Linked DNA regions of Astyanax mexicanus. The protein of the gene in region 1 purifies or fractionates together with the protein of each later gene. This does not show direct contact. Links are inferred from orthologs where the notes say so. Each region holds a gene or a part of one and is shown in the gene's direction. Other genes may lie near its edges.

What was found.
Region 2: the proteins of sh3pxd2aa (region 1) and fgd1 purify together in Homo sapiens (affinity purification with mass spectrometry; 3 studies listed by BioGRID and IntAct, with this or other methods). This does not show direct contact. The link is inferred for Astyanax mexicanus from reciprocal best matches to the Homo sapiens genes SH3PXD2A and FGD1.

The regions. Positions count from the first base shown.
Region 1 is NC_064428.1:25,422,630-25,431,011, reverse strand, and holds the start of sh3pxd2aa (SH3 and PX domain-containing protein 2A), read left to right. Parts: upstream 1-5,093; 5' UTR 5,094-5,464; coding exon 5,465-5,536; intron 5,537-8,382. UniProt on the Homo sapiens protein: Adapter protein involved in invadopodia and podosome formation, extracellular matrix degradation and invasiveness of some cancer cells. Binds matrix metalloproteinases (ADAMs), NADPH oxidases (NOXs) and phosphoinositides.
Region 2 is NC_064419.1:4,164,576-4,172,969, forward strand, and holds the start of fgd1 (FYVE, RhoGEF and PH domain-containing protein 1), read left to right. Parts: upstream 1-4,537; 5' UTR 4,538-5,902; coding exon 5,903-6,044; intron 6,045-8,394. Other genes in the region: uncharacterized protein LOC103030869, read left to right, coding at 787-852. UniProt on the Homo sapiens protein: Activates CDC42, a member of the Ras-like family of Rho- and Rac proteins, by exchanging bound GDP for free GTP. Plays a role in regulating the actin cytoskeleton and cell shape.

The DNA.
Region 1 (8,382 bases):
TGATCATAAGCCACCAAACCAAGCTGAACTGCTTGAATGTCTGCACCAGGAGCGGCATAAAGTTATCCAAAAGCAGTGTGTAAGACTGGTGGAGGAGAACATGCCAAGATGCATGAAAACTGTGATTAAAAACCAGGGTGATTCCACCACATTGATTTCTGAACTTTATGAATAGGAACTTGTTTTCCTTGCATTTTTTGAGGTTTGAAAGCTTTGCATCTTTTTTTACTATTTTAGCCATTTCTCATATTCTGTTCAACTACTGTTATGTGCCCAAAGGATTCCTTTTGGGTACTACATAGAACCCTTTTTACTATGTATAGATAAGTGTGAGGTTCCCAAAACTGCAATTAAGATCCCCTTCGTTCACTCAAATGCGTGTTAAAACAAGTGAGAGCAGACTTGAACCACAAGGTGGCAATATAAACAAGCCAAAGCTCTTCCTTCCATGAGCACATCTGTTTCCATGCAGTTTTCCTGTGCTGTCACCCTATTGGCAGCAGATAACCTGTCTAATAAATACTGAGAAATCAATTCCGTGGACAGCTCACAAACTTTGTTTGGCATCAGGGCAAGGATGCAGTTAGAATCGGTAGAATCGTGCCTGTAATGAGAACACTTATCATTTAATACATGATTAGCGCTGCACCACAGTCCAGCTGGCTTATCTTAGAACTGGCTGAAGTCTGTTTTACCTCAAAATCTCTATGATTGTGCTGTGCATTAACTGTAACAGGTATTTACAGGTATTAACTGTACTTGTGAAACAAGATTCAAATGCATGATAATCTGAATAAGAGCTGTAAATTGAAGTTTGTTTGGAAACAAGACACGGAAAAAGCTGTTTGTGGGGTAAAAATGTAGGCTACCTCTATTTTATTTACCTGAATGTATGTGCTGCTTCGTTATCTTTTGCTAGAATATAATAAGTATAGACAACTGGGCAAAAAAAGGTGTCAGAAACGTCCCATCAAGCTGAATATTTTTAGATACTGCCTAAATAAAACTGTAGGTCAGATATTTTGAGTGTTCACTCCACTCATATCTGACCCAGCAGGAGTTTATAGGAAGGATATTTTGATTGCTGAAAATAATGTAATAGCCAAGAAATCTGTATGAATTAGCATGAAAAACACAGTAAATAATTACTGACACTATTTATTATTATGTACAAGCCAGTATTAAATTAATCAGTATTTAAAACAACTGTATCACTAGGTAATACCCAGTATTTCAAATGGATTCTCATATTTTAATATTCATATTTATACATTGATGGCCTAAATCATTAAAAATTAACAGAATTGTGTGTGTGTGTACGAGTTAGCATGAAAAACAGGATAATATAATTTATTACTTGCCTATCACTTAGTATTTACATTTTAATTTTGATGGCCTTAATCACTGTATCAGAGGATAAAGATAAGTTAACTGAGGTAATAAATCGGTTTTCGTACAGTCAGCCACAGAGCTAGCAAGCTAGAGCCAGCAGAGTTATTTTTTTGTAAGAACACAAGATAATATTTCTTATTTCTTATTAACTTAGTACATTGTCAATTATATTTTGATGCCCTAAATCATTTAAATCAACCAGTAAAGTTAAGGTACAGTGGTATGAAAAAGTTTGGGCATCCATGATATTTTTTATGCTTTCCTTTCTAAATCATTGGTTGTGTGGATCAGTGATTTCAGTTAAATATAGTACATAGCTGATGAACACAGTGATATTTGAGAAGTGAAATTAAGTTTACAGGATTTGCAGAAAGTGTTTTATTGATTGAAATACCTTTAGCACTAATTATTGGAACACAACATTTGTTTGGTAACCTCACTGACCCTTGACCTACATAAAGAGTTAAGGTGGCCAATTGCAAGTTTTTCTCCTCCTTGCATCTTCTCTGAAGAATGGCAACAAGAAAAATCTCAGATAAGCAGAGGAGAAAATTGTAAGAATTGTAAATTGTATAGTCAACCCACAGACCAGCTCCAAAGCTCCTACATCATCATCTTGCTGCAGATGTTAACACTGCACAAGGGGAGGCTGTATGGGAGAATAATGCAGAAGAAGCCTTTTCTGAGCACACGCGGCAGAGTTGCTTGAGGTATGCTAAAGCACATTTGGACAAGCCAGCTTCATTTTGGAATAAGGTTCTATGGACTGATGAAACTTATATTGATTTATTTGGAAGGTGGTATGCATGGCAGAAAAAGAACACAGCATTCCAGTACAAACACTACCCACAGTAAAACTTGGTGGTGGTTCCATCATGCTGTGGGGCTGTGTGTTCAGTGCAGGTACTGGGAATCTTGTTAAAGTTCATGTTCGCATGGATTTCAGTCAATATCAGCAGATTCTTGAGGACAATGTTTAAAAATCATTTAAAAAAAGTTATAGTTGCTTTTTTACAGAAGAACAAGTACAACGTTCTGGAATGGCCATCTCAGTCCTCAGACCTAAAAATATAAATCTGTGTTTGTTTAGTTTATTAAAAAATGGTTTGTCCTCTCTCTCTGTGAGTTTTAAATGTGATCTGCATCGGCACATATGCATATGTGCAATATCTGATATTGGCATTGGCCCTGAATTAAAACTATTGCAATACTGCGATATACCGATTTTTTTTCACACCAAACCACCTTATACTGAACGATTGACATGACTCTAGCAAGACTCTCATGATTTAATTCCGACACTGTGCTACAAGCCACATTGCTCGAATCCATTTTTTGCTTAGATCGAAATTTGAATATCTTGACGGTTCACATTCAAAAATGCAAGTGACCTGAATCTGTGTGTAATGTGAATGAATCTGTCTCTGAAACATCTCACATGTGCACATTGATACATGTATAAACGTTGCCTTCTTCACCAACAACAAGAAACGCCATATTTATGCGGTGACTTGTAGCTTTACAAAGTAAAATGGATGCGTTAGCAGCTCATATGTGGAGCATCTTTTGCTGGAGTGGAGAGAAAACAGCTGGTCTGAAGTTCGAGGAGGTGAAAAAAGGCCAGGTGGTTTGCTTTTGCTGTTTTTGCAGCTATAGCTGCACAGCTGCACCAAGAGATGTGTGGGTATGAGAGAGCATGCATAAAAGCAAAAAGACGCATGAATTTCGATTTGACCATTCACATTAATGTCACATGACCATGGATCGGATATGTATCAAATTTTAGGACCACATATGAAAGTGATTCAAATCTAATTTGACAAAAAAGGGATTTGCATGTTCACACATGACGAAATCAGATCCACACAGAGCCACACTGAGAAAAAAAATGGTTCACACTGGCGTAGCCTTTGTTTTCGACAGTGAAATTGCTTGAAAATTGTTTCGGTGTTAGCAAACTGAATTTGTGTAACAGTTAGCTATCTATGTTAGCCAACACTAAAACACGGAAAACAGTATTATATATTAGTTATTTACTTTTCCTTAATTAAAACCATATTTTGGTGGCCAAATTAAATCACTGTATCAGAGATTAAAGGTACGTTAATGGAAACTGAGGTGATAAATCAGTTAAATTAATAGTTAGGAAAATTTTTGTTAGCTAGCTAAAAGAGTTAGCATTAAATACGCCGTTTTTTAATTATATAGGAGTGTGCCTGTGCGCGTGCGCAGCAACCGTCGGTCGTTAGGACGGATCGGAGCCGGTCGGAGGGGGACGATGTTGGTAGAAGCGGTACTGCAGCCAGAATCACCAAAACACCTCCAAACATCTCACTCTCAGGTTCCTCCTCAGCCGGAAAAGCCCGGCCCATTAGCGAGCTGGAGCCGCACAGAAACAGCCTTCTTCTTCAGATAGAGAAAGAGAGGGAGAGGGGGGGAAGAGAGAGAGAGTGAGTGTGTGTTTGTAAGTGAGAGAGAGAGAAAGAGAGAGAGAGAGAGAGTAAGTAAGAGCGTAAGAGCGTGTGTGTTTTCGTTCACTCCAAGCCTGCCTTCTTCTCTCGTCAAGCCCCCCACAACCGACCACCTCCAGGTCCAGCTTTGCCAACTGAGGCTTACCGTGCGTCCACACCGAAAGCGACGCGAGCGACAAAGCAGCCGGAAGTCATTCATTTTCAATGAGAGCGAGCGACACTGGGCGACAGGCAGCGACGCGGCGCGACGCGATGCGAAGCGGGCGGTTTGAGCGACGCGAGAGAGTTGACCAGAACTTAACTTTATGCAAATGAGCAGCGACGCGCGGCGGCGACTACCAATCAGAAACAGATTCTCATATGTCCGGCCTGAAATCGCTGCTCTGATTTTCAGTTCCTACTGAAGATTTATTCCGCCAGCAAAACGGAAAGAACAGAACTGAACTGAGCTGATCTGAGGTAAAATACTCCACTTCACCAGCGGCTACCCCAGTATAGTACTATCCTTACAGAATTACCTTATTTAATAGAAAACTATATATTAAACTGAGGAAATTATTTATAAATTAACAGAACGATTTATGACAACTAAGGGAATATTTTTTAAATTAACAGAACCTTTTATTGAAACAAAGGGAATTATTTATTAAAGTTAACATAATGATTTATTACAACTGAAGAAAGTAATTAATACATTTAACGTAACAATTTGTTCAAACTGAGGTATGGAATTTGAAACGATTTAGGTAAAATTGAGGGAATTATTCATTACATTTTACAGAAAGATTTATTCAAACTGAGGGAATTATTTATTAAATTAAGAGAAAGACTGTTTATTAAATCAAGAGGATGATTTAATATATTTAAGTAAACATATTAATTACAAGAATTTATTTTAGACATTAAGTTAACAATATTTGAAATTATGGACAAATTAAGAGAATGATTTACTACATTAAGGAAAATAATGTATTATATTTAAGTAAACCCATTTATTGTAATATGAAATAATTATGTTAAATAATTGTACTTAAAAATAGTTATAAAAGTTTTTAATGTTTAGGAACTGTGTAGAGAGGCTGAACCCTTGTTTCTGTATGTGCCGTATTTGGAAAACGCCCACCAGCGACAGCTCGTTCTGAGTGAGACACGCCCACAAGCGACTCATCGCCTGTTGGACAGGCGACACAGAGCGATTTTATCGCGTTCGGTGTGAACGTACAGTTAGGAGCTCAACTTGGATCTAACCTATTGTTTTCATCCAGCGGCGGCAGCAGCAGCACGAGCAGCGGCGGCGGCAGTGCTGCGGTTCAGCCCGGAGACAGCTGAGCAGCAGAACCGCGCTTTATCCAACTACATGGATTTCGTTACTACTATTATCCCCCCGTCGTTTTTGGCTTCGTACGAGCAGCGCAGCCGTTAAGCTGCTGGGTATCAGAGCACCCGGGGTGTCTTCATTTAGCTACACGACCTGGAGCGGAGAGACTCGCCCCCTTTCAAACAAACGGAGCGAAAACAAACCTCCAGACCCTTCTTCATTTATCCAGCGCTTACTGCCCCCGTCTCTCCGCTGCCCTGTCTCCGCCGCCTCCGCTTCAGCGATGCAGCTCCGCACCGTTTTGGACGTGAAAGTCGTGGACGTGGAGAAACGGAGGCACCCCTCCAAACACTACGTGAGTGGGCCTGTGATTAGAGCTGGATAGTTCTTAGTTAGCTAGTTAGCTTAGCTAGGTTAGGTAACTATAACGTTAGCTAGGTAACTAGGTAACTAGTTAGCTAACCTACCTGGACCCGTGGTTAAACCCTGCCTCTATCTCCGTTGTTGTTTTTTTTAATCATTATTTTATCTAGCTATAATATTTAATAGCTACAGGACACGGTTTCTGGTCTGAACACACACATACATACACATTGGGTCATACATAATAGTAATATTGGAGACTTTGCTAAGCTAACTAGCTAGTTAGTAGTTAACCTAAGCTAGCAAGCTATGGGTCTTCTGAGGGCTCTTCTGCATGTGACAGAAAAGCTGAGGGAGGGAGAAGAAAAAAAAGGCGATGACGTCATGCACGTTTTTAAAACCGGTTTTAAAACGCAAGTGTGAACGCGACCTAAAAAACACAAAACGTTCATGGCTCAATCTATGCAGCCTAATGAGGTTGAGAGGGGTGGACATTAGAGTAAAAACCACAGTGTTTCTAAACTTGACTTTTAAGATGCAGGATGTTTAGAAACGAATGCAATAAATATCCCTTAATATTCTTAATAAAAAACAAAACAAACAAAAAAAAAAATTATTTATACCAAACAGTGGCTTGACAGAAATATGTTTAAGCTCTTTAGCATATGCAAAGAAAAAAAATGATTTAGAAATGTTTAATTTGGTTTTGGCCAAAAAAATAATTTCATTTCTGTTTCAGTTATTTTTTTGGTGGCTACAGCGTTGTTCCAATGTTCTAAAATGTATAAGTTCTATTGTCTAATAATGAAACATAAACGGAATTTTGGAAAGTCGTCAGAGGTAATGTTATGTTTTTAATATATGGTTGTGAAAGCAACCTTTGGACAATGTTGTAGCAACCTTCTTAGAAAGTAGACAACATTGTGACACAATACTTTAAGACATCATGCAACATAAAGTGTCCAAGTTATGCATTTACTTTTTAATAATTTAGCTCTCATCTTGTAGTAAAACATGTAGGCAATCAATTATTGGAAGGAGGACTGTATTTATATTAACGATATACTCAAAAAACAATGTTGTGATATAATGTCATGCAACATAATTGTAAAATTGCACACAGCTAGGTTAGCCGTACATCTATCTCATCAAACATTCTAGTTGGTTTACTTTTAGTTCAATCCCAGTGTCAGCAAGTGCATATTTGACAGGCAGTTTTGTAGTAAGTGGACATATAGTACCTGGTCAGTAGGCTGTGTAACTGAGTGAAAGACACTGAAAAACACTTGTCTTTTAACAAGGTCTTCCTTGATGCCTGTCCGTCTGGCAGTTAACTGATGAGCTGAATCAGGCAGCGTTGGAGTGAAAGCTAGGAGATGATGTTGTAATAGAACTGTGAGGACCAGAAGTGATGACCCCTGCTGTAGTTGTTGACAACTCTGTCAAAATGTTCATTTCGACCCGTAGTGAGGTGTCCGGACACTTTGATTTTAGCTGATCTGACAAGATCCACGCTGGCTGTTGCCTTACATCCTTTTTTTTAGAATGTGAAACACTAACCTTAAATATTCATTGGTTTACAGCTGAAGTGATGAGACTCCAGTGAGAAGGAATGATCACCACCTGCTATGAAAAGTACGGTTCGGTGAATTTGCTTGAGTTAAATGTTTACACTACATCATTTCCACATATCAGACGAAAACAGAGCTGATGAGTTTGATCTTGCTTTGTTTTAAGTTTGGCAGTAATTGTGTTATCTTATATACACCTCTCCCACATAACATTCATTAAAAAAAAACACCTACCTAAACAAACAGCCCAGACTTTTTAATCATTGACTCCACAAGTCCTTTAAAGTAGATCCTTCGTCAAGTTCTGTAAGCTGAAAGGTGGACATCAATAAACCTTAAGCACCCATGATGACCATGTCATTGGTTTGCTAGTTGTTCTTTGTTTGATTGCTTTAATTAGGTTCAAATCACTGCAACACCTGCCATTTTGGAGATGATATAATCCAGTTGAAAGCTTGTACATTTTTTCAGATTCTTAAGCAGCTTACTGTTCACTTGCTGCCTAATGTTTTATATACTACCCCCTGACAGGTGACACTGTAGCGATAGATTAGTTGTTCACTTTTCCTATCAGTGGCTTTAATGTTATAGTTGAAACTGTATGAAATCTGTTAACTCTAGGAGCACACAAATGCTGGTGTAATTAGGGTTCAAGCACCGAAGGTGCGTAGAACCCTATTGTTTTTGTTAAGATTTTTCTTCTTATTATTATTATTATTCTTTTTCCTCTGAAAAAGCAGTTGTGCAGCCTAAACCGTAAGTCTTAGAGAAATTAAACTTGGTAGGTAGATGTAGGATCAGTGCATCTCAGTGGACAACAAAAATGGCACCAATTGGTCAAGTGGTGGCGCTATAAACAAGGAAATTCATTTTTCACAATTTTCTCAATAACTCAAAAACCATAAGACATACATTTAAAATTCTTTTTTTGCTGGATTCCTTGGGTTAATACCTACAACGTTCCAATTTGGACCATGCACTTCCGTCTATATAGATTTTTTGCTAATTTGCATAATATGCAAAACATACTTTTGCGAACTAGTCCTAGGAATTTTCATAAATCCTGGCATGTTTGGTATCAAAATACTCGTGAGAGCATGGCCTTCAATATTCGTCAAAAAATGTTGAAATTTGTAAACAATATGGCCGCCATATGCAAATTAGTCCTTCCGGATATATGCCCCATTCACTTCAATTGTTAAATTTGGAACACTGTTTCTCAGCAACCGTGCAACCTAGCAAGCTGAAACTTTGCATGCAGAATCAT
Region 2 (8,394 bases), on another chromosome or scaffold:
TAAATGCTCTAAATGACCGGTTTTATTTGGAATTTGAGAGAAATGTTGTCTGTAGTTCATAGAATAAAACAACAATGTTTATTTCACTCAAACATAAACCTATAAATAACAAAATCAGAGAAACCGATTCAGAAACTGATTCAGTGGTCTCTTAATTTTTATTTTCAGAGCTGTATTACAAAATTAGGGTCTACCCTCCTACACTGCATGCATGTGAGCAAAAAAAATCTTTCCATGTGAATGATCTTGAGAGACATTATTCCACCCCTGCCACAAAAAAAGGCGTAACTTTCAATGCAAGTTAAATTAACAGTGTTTATGTTTTATGGAAAAGAGTTTGAAAGTCGGGAAAAAATGTTAAGTGCTTTATTTTTATTTATTTATTTATTTATTTTATTGTTGGCTGTGTGCTGTGTTTAACTAGAAACCAGTATTTGGCAGCACTTCAGTGCTGCTGGACACTCAGCCCAGTCCCCCATATGGCAGGTCTGGCCATGCTACAGTGGATACGTGGTGGTTTAGGGTTCCTGAATTTCAGCTTGGCCAGCCGGCACATTCCAGACATTCCGGTCTAATTCCCAGGCATTTGGGGAATTCACTTAGCACTCATTCTTCTTCTAAATGTCTTTCAGCTTTACTGTTTACTCCCACGGTTGAGTTTCAGGTGTGGGTTGGTGTTTACAGTTAGTAATCCATTTCTAATGTTCAGCACATACTTTTCGGCACTGCAGCTTTTCTAGACATATTATGATGCTGATCAGGTTTAAATACTTATTCACTCCACAGCCACGGTACAGCCTGAGGAGCAGGAGATCCTTATGTGCTCCACCACCAAAAGATGAAGGAGACTGATTCAGACCACTGGACAACATTTGTCATATGTAGAGACTTTTATTTGACAGTTTTCACTGTTTTGTATGTTTTTTATAAGTATGTTTTAATGCAGATGTGGTGTTATTATTGTAACATTTAATAACTTTAATAAATACTATTTTTGCTACTTGTTTGAGATCACATTTTGGTATAATGAGTAAATCTGGTTTGCTGTTTGGATTTTCCACTACTGGACTTTTAAATAGACTCCCTCAGCAAGACCGCCACCTTCTGGACAAATACTGTCATTGTCCTTTCCTGATGTCAGGTCTCTCCAAACCATCACTGATTGGTGGAAACTTCACTCTAGACCTCAAGCAGTTTGGACTGTGTGTCTCTCCACTCTTCCTCCAGACTCTGCTTCCTTGATTTACAAATAAAATGTAAAATTTACTGATGATCAGTGATGGATTGGAGAGACTGTCATCTGCTGGTGTTGATCCACTATTTTATATCAAGTTACAGCACTTCATGCTTCCCTCTGTTACTGACAACTTTTATTGAGATGCGGATTTCATTTTCCAGCAGGACTTGGCACACTGCCCACACTGCCAAAACTACCAATTGGTCTTATATGATATATTCTAATTTTTCTGAGACACAGATTTTTGGGTTTTCATTGGTTGTAAGCCATAATCATCAACAATAAAAGAAATAAATGCTTAAAATAGATCACTCTGTGTGTAATACATCAATTTAATATATACGTTTTACATTTTGAACTGAATAACTGAAATAAAGTAACTTTTTAATGATTCAATATTTACATTTTTTGAAATGCACAAGTAATTAAACACTGACAGTATCAACAATATGCTTGGAGAAATGTTTATTATTCATCATAATGATTTTTGTGACTGTACAATAAAATATTGTCATATTGCCCACATTGATACACAGGGTGATATAAGGTAAAGTAGCCCACAAAAAAATCCAGCCGTGGCTATATTTGCATAACAGACATTGTGACCCTCAGTTTCCTGGAAAGAAAGCAGGAGTCATTGTGGCCTCACTTTAACAAAAAGAGTGCCTTTAAAGTATTTTAGGAATTCTTTTTCTGAGGTGTTTTGTTTTGTTTTTTGACATTATTTAAAAAAGACAACATTTTGCCCCCCTCCAAGGCCAGATTTTACTACAAACGTCATCCAGACTATGAAGAAGCACACAAGGGAATCATGTAGTAACTGAATATTGTTAAACAAATCAAAATACTTTAGGTGCTCTTATCTTAGGAGCTGTTAACTTGTGGTTTCTGAGTCTGGTAACTCTGATAAAACATATCCTGTACAACAGAGGGAACTCTTGATTATTCTTTTTGGGGTGGTCCTAATGAGAGCCAGTTTCATCATAATGTTTTTGATGGTGTTTGTGACTGTTGATTTATTTATTTATTTTTTTTCATTACTTAGTTGAGTAATTCTTGCCATAATATAGATTAAAACGTTACTCATATAGAGCTATTCATTGTATTCCTGTAACTCTACCTCTTCACAACTTTATAATTGATGCTCTCAAACATTAACATTAAGAGGTAAGAAATTGAAGTAGTTAATTATTTTAGCTTTTAACTTAAATCTATTCCAGGTGACTCTACCTCATAAAGCTGATTGAGAAAAGGCCAAGATGTGCAAAACTTAAAAGCTAAATAATTATTTTTTTTTTCATAGTTTGGATGCCTTTAGTATTTAGAAATGTTAAAATAATGAAATAAAACACAAACTTTAAGGTGTCCAAATTTTTGACTGGTACTGTATGTTAATTTGTCACCTGTCTGCTTTCATGTTGTCTACAAAAAATGACAAAGGTTTTTTCACCATTTTAAGATGGTACAGAGCTTGTCTGTTCCTGTGAGCAGGATGTTGTATGTTTAGTGGGTTCATGTATTTTACTGCATGGCTTTTTGAAGAGTTTAGTTTGGCCAGAGACAGGGTGTAATCTACTTATGGGATATCAGCCATGTGTCATAAACCTTGTACATCCACTATGACCTCTTCACCCCACACACACATACACATTCATACCTAGTAACTCATATGATAGAAGGAATGATGGACTGCATGCGGTTAATAATGCTTACTCAACCTGTATGAATTTGGCTCAGTATAAACATTTACGGGAAAACCTACAGATTCCAATTAATCGTTCTCCCACACCATCCTGGGAGAGATGGAAGAAGCTGGAGGTTTGTGTTGCCTTGTTGGTATGTTGTAATGGTGCTCCATTTCTGTGAGGCCAGTCATACAGTAGGTCCTAAACCAGCTACTTCTGATCTCCATATCTTATTTGTTAGTAATGCATCTTGGATTCCTCTGGTGCTTTGGGACTCCTGTGCTTTCTAGGGTCTTCTAAAGGTTTTTCAACACACCTGAGCTAGGAAACTGATATGAATGTGTAAATATGTAAAAATGATTTATTATCGCAAGTGGACCTACATGTGCCTGAGTAAGGGATGTTTATTGGCAAGAGCATGTTGATATGCATTACAAATCAGGGATTTGATACAGGGGTCCCTGTATCACATTAATGGTTTGTGGACCATTGAGGAACAGAGTGAGAAAAGGCTAATACAAACAGAAGGACTATCATCAATTTATAGAACTATAACAAAAGGGTGGTCATAATGTTATGCTTGATGGACTGTGTGTCTCTCCACTCTTCCTCCAGATTTGGTCCTTTTGATTTCCAAATGAAATGTAAAATTTACTGATAATCAGTGATGGTTTGGAGAGACATGTCATCTGCTGGTGTTGATCCACTGTGTTTTATTATCAAGTCTAAAGTCAGCGCAGTTTTGTTTTCCCGGAAAATCTTACAGCACTTCATGCTTCCCTCTGCTACTGACAACTTTTATGGTGAGGTGGATTTTATTTTCCAGCAGGACTTGGCACACTGCCCTCACTGTCAAAAGTAGCAATTGGTCTTATGTAATATTCTAAATTTCTGAGACGCTGATTTTTGGGTTTTCATTGGCTGTAAGCCATAATCGTCAACAATAAAAGAAATAAACACTTAGATATAAATAGATCACTGTGTGTAATACAGAATATTATTTCAATTATATTATAATTTCTGTGATGCACTAGTATATAGTGCAGCCCATACATTTGCAGAATGCTTACAAGGTTGCATAAAACGACATGAATTTAATTTAATGTCTCCCAGAGTCCCCCAGATATCCTGTTCCCATAAATGTTTGTTATTTCTTGAGTTCATTCTTCCAGTTTGAGCTACTGGAGCAATCTGGGTCAGATTGGAGGAGTCCATGACCTTTTCTGCTGCTGTTTACAGCCTCCCCCCTGTCCTCCCTGCCCTCCCTGTTGGGCTAAAAGTTTAATTCATGTAATGTAAACCATCAAGCCCAATTAGAAGATCCCATAAAAACGTGTGCTTTTCAGATATGTGTTTTTGGGGAGTGAGGGAAAAAGAAAGAGGGAGAAATTCAAATCCTGCTAACGTTTTTCTTCGCCTCAGATTTCAAGCCCAAACCCGACAGACAGGGGAAAAAACCCAAATGAGAAACAGACTTTGGGAAAAGTGGAGATGGTGGTGTTTTGAGGAGGAGGAGGAGGAAGAAGAAGAGGAGGAGAGGGGGGTTGAGCTGAGAGCTGAGAACTGAGACTTGGTTTCATATGTCGACCAAGTAATGCTCTCTCTCTCTCTCTCTCTCTCTCTCTCTCTCTCTCACACACACACACACACACTCACTCACTCTCACACAGGAGCAGCGAAAAAAGAAGGGAGCCAGGAAGAAAAAGAGGAGGAGGAGAAAAGGCACAGAGAGAAAAAGAGGGAGAAGGGGGGTTAGGTTTATCGTCTTTTAGACTCCACACATCTGACAACCGTACTGTCGAGGGTTTTTACTTCAGTTCACACGTATAACTTCATCTACAGTGGATCTGTAACCGGTGTAAACTGAGGGAAAATGCTGCAGCTGGATTATTTAAGGAGACTCTTCAGCTTCTGGATGCTTAAAGCGGTAAAACCGAGGAATTGAGCGCAGAAACGAAGCGGTTGGAGGATTTTTTTTGTGTGTAAGAAGCTGAGTGAGCACATTTTGAGGAGCTTTCTGGCTTTCTAAGGGAAACAGACTGAACGGCGACGGGAATGGCCAAAGCTGACTTCAACTTTTACACGTTTTTGAACAAATACAGCGCGTATATTGAATGAACAGTTAATTGGGATACGCGACAAGACGATGGATTACGGGTTTTTTTGTAGTTTCTGTTTAATTCTGGGTAATTTCACGACTTTCTCGAATTCTGCTGAGATGGCAGTGATCTGCTAACTAAATAGGCTTGTTTAAATAGCTGTAGTACTTTTTCCACTCATTGTCTTGTTTTGGTTTTTTTTCTTCCTCCTTTTTGGGTTAATGCTACTTTATAATAGCGTTTTTACAGTACCACAGTTAGTTAACTAACCTAAAGATGAGAGAAAATAACGTTAGCTATAGATACGAAACAATAGAAACGCAACTTTAAGAAGCTTTTATTGTTTTTTTTTTTTTTCGTTTCGTAGCACCTGGAATAGAACATAAAATAGAGACGTTTTGTTGTGTATGTACTTTTAAACAAAGGATTAAGTTAGCGTATAGCGTGTAGTCGTTTTACTTTAAGCTAAATAACTAACTAGCTTGTTAACAAAGAAAGGTGGTATAAATTATTGAAGTGAAAAAAGAAAAAGAATATGATAGAGTAAGACATATAGCTAATTTAAGTCAATGGTAACGTTACTAAAATGTATAGATAACAAACATACTCTCTTTTTTTTTAATAACAACAAAACCTAAGCCAACAACAGCACCGTTATGCAGGCTTCACTTTACTTTTAACGTTAACCCACTCATCATTTTTAAACTAGGTAGCTACTAAATGACCCAGAATTAAATAAGCTGCTCTTTGATGGAGTTTTCCAGCACTCGAAGGCACTTGGATTTGATTTTTGCTCTGGGCAGCAGCCTGGGAGATAATAATCCCCCTTCCAGCTCGCTACAACCCACCGTGTCCCGCCTCCAGGCTGAGGGCGAGCAGGCATGCAGCTGAACCGGCCGAGGAGCGCCCTTGTCGGCTACGCGGAGAGCCACGCGTCCTTCTCCAGCCAGTTCAAAACCATGCGCTTCTCCTACCACATCAGCGGGGGGCTGCCGAGCCCTCAGCCGGCTCTACGCCGGAGAGGTGAGTCCTGCGCTGGGTCACTGGGTCGGCACGTCTCGGTGCTGCCTGTAAGTGGCTGCTTGGTTTTCTTCATGATTGTCTTTTTTTGTTAGTGGAGCTGAAAGGATGAATTAATGCTTTGGAAGTGTGTCCTTGCCTGCTGAAGCTTGGAGATGAATCATTCATCTGATTGCTGATCCAGTTTATATGCACAGCATGTGTCTGCATGTTCTTCTGTCAAGGGCACTGAATGAGAGAGAGAAGCTTGTGTTATTGTGTGGATGAATGTTGTTCTTGTATAAATTCAGCAATGCCACTCTGGGCATGGGGTCAGGAATGATTAATTAGTCAGTCTTTTCTGCTTTATGCTTTGATTGGATCCAGTGCATATATAGTTAGTTCATTAGGGCATTGGCGTAGGAACCGGGGGGGATGTCCCACCCAATATTAGAAACAGGTGGATTTGTCCCCCCCAAAAATGAAATAGTTTCGCTCAGCTCAGTCGTACTGTTAATGAAGAGACCGACCGCTAAGCGCTGGGAAACCAATCACGGTGCCGGTTCAGGGAGAAAGTCCCGCCTTTCAGGAGAAACAGCCAATCAGCTCGCTGGTCTTGCGAGAAGAGTTTTAATGGGATAAAGATGTAAATAAAGATGTTTTAATTGGAGGCACCTTTCCCATATTTCCCATTGAACAGGGTCAGCAATTTGACTATGTGGTAAAGTATTTCTGAATAATGAAAAATGATCATGTCTGTTCTCATCTACATTGGTTAAATCCAATGGAAATTATATGCTTCCCCTCACAAAAGGTCATTCATATATTTGGACATGATATTTTTATTTCGTAATTGGTCATTCAGTGTATGTTGTGCACCATTCAAGATGCTTTCATTGTATGCACAGATATTATATTATCTAAACATGTTGGTGAATGTCTGAATGCAGAACTAATTATTGCCAAGAGTTTAGGTATACCTTATATCCGTATCTGGAAGAATGCCATCTCCTTTATCATCTCCTTTGATTAAATCCAATTGCAATGATCTGTTACCCCTAAAATGACTGGCCATACTTGGGCAACCCATTGGACTGTGCAGTATATGTTGTTCATCGTCCATGATGCATTAATTGGAGGCACTTTTCCCCCATTGAAAAGGGTCAGAAATTTGACTATCAGGTTGGGTATTTCTGAATAATTGAAAGAATATTATATCCGTTCTCATCTGCATTGGTTAAATCCAATGGAAAAATATATGCTACCCCTCAACCAATGGTCATATATGTACATGATATTTTGATTTATAAATTGGTCATACAGTATATGTTGTAAACCATTCAAAATGCATTTTCATTTGAAGAACAGCCATTATATTAGTTGAACATCTAGATAAATTGTTATTTTCCTATTGGACTGGGTCAGCAATACAACCATTTGCTATAGATAGATGGTTTTTCAAAAACTGAATAAACCACAATGGTTTCTTTGAATTTAAAGGACACTAAAAGAGGGAAAATTACCTTTTGACCCCCGGACAGTGTTCAGAATAGGACAACAGGGTCAAATAAGAAAGGCATTTGCTTGTGTCTTCAATATTGTGTAAATCATTTTTTTATTTTAATTAAAGTAATGAATTTGTTGACATGGGCATCAATATTACCGCAGGTAATCAAAATGATTGGAAAACCTCATTCTCTCAATCTGAATCTGAGTGTCGTGGTACTATTCGTGCATTTCAAGGAAAGTTAAAATATATTTACTGTAGGCGATGTCCCCTCAGTGAAAGCTGACAGTATGTCCAGTACATTAGGTCTTCAAGAGTCATCTTAAGTCATACTGATGTGATTTGTAAATCTAATCACTGGGGCACCAGAACAGGGTCGTGATGGCATTCACATGGTCCTCTGCTCACAATTTAAGGACACCGACAAAATCCTTGGAACGGAACAGCATTGTCCCTGTGCTACTCTTCACTACTGTGCCATGTTTGTACTTGTGTATGTGTGTGTGTGTGTGTGTTTCTTTGAGACTGTCAGTGTGGGGTATTTGCTCAAGCAGTGTGCTGTGAAATCCAATTAAACTCCAGAGAATGGAGCATGCGTCCGAGATGCGTCTGTGCTGACCAGCAGATACAGAGAGTTGCCTGTCACAATATGAGCCGGTGCTTTGCTCCAGTGGATTGCTGCAGTGGAAGAAGAAGCCATTTATTTCCTGGGTGCAGGGCTTTTCTGTAATTTGCCTGTAGAAATTATGGCCTATTGATTCGAGGATGTGTGCACAGAGCGCATGTAACACAGGGCTCTACATTTAGACACTTAGCTAAACCTGCACTGTTAATTATACATTAATCACTGTTGTGATTTGCTGCCTC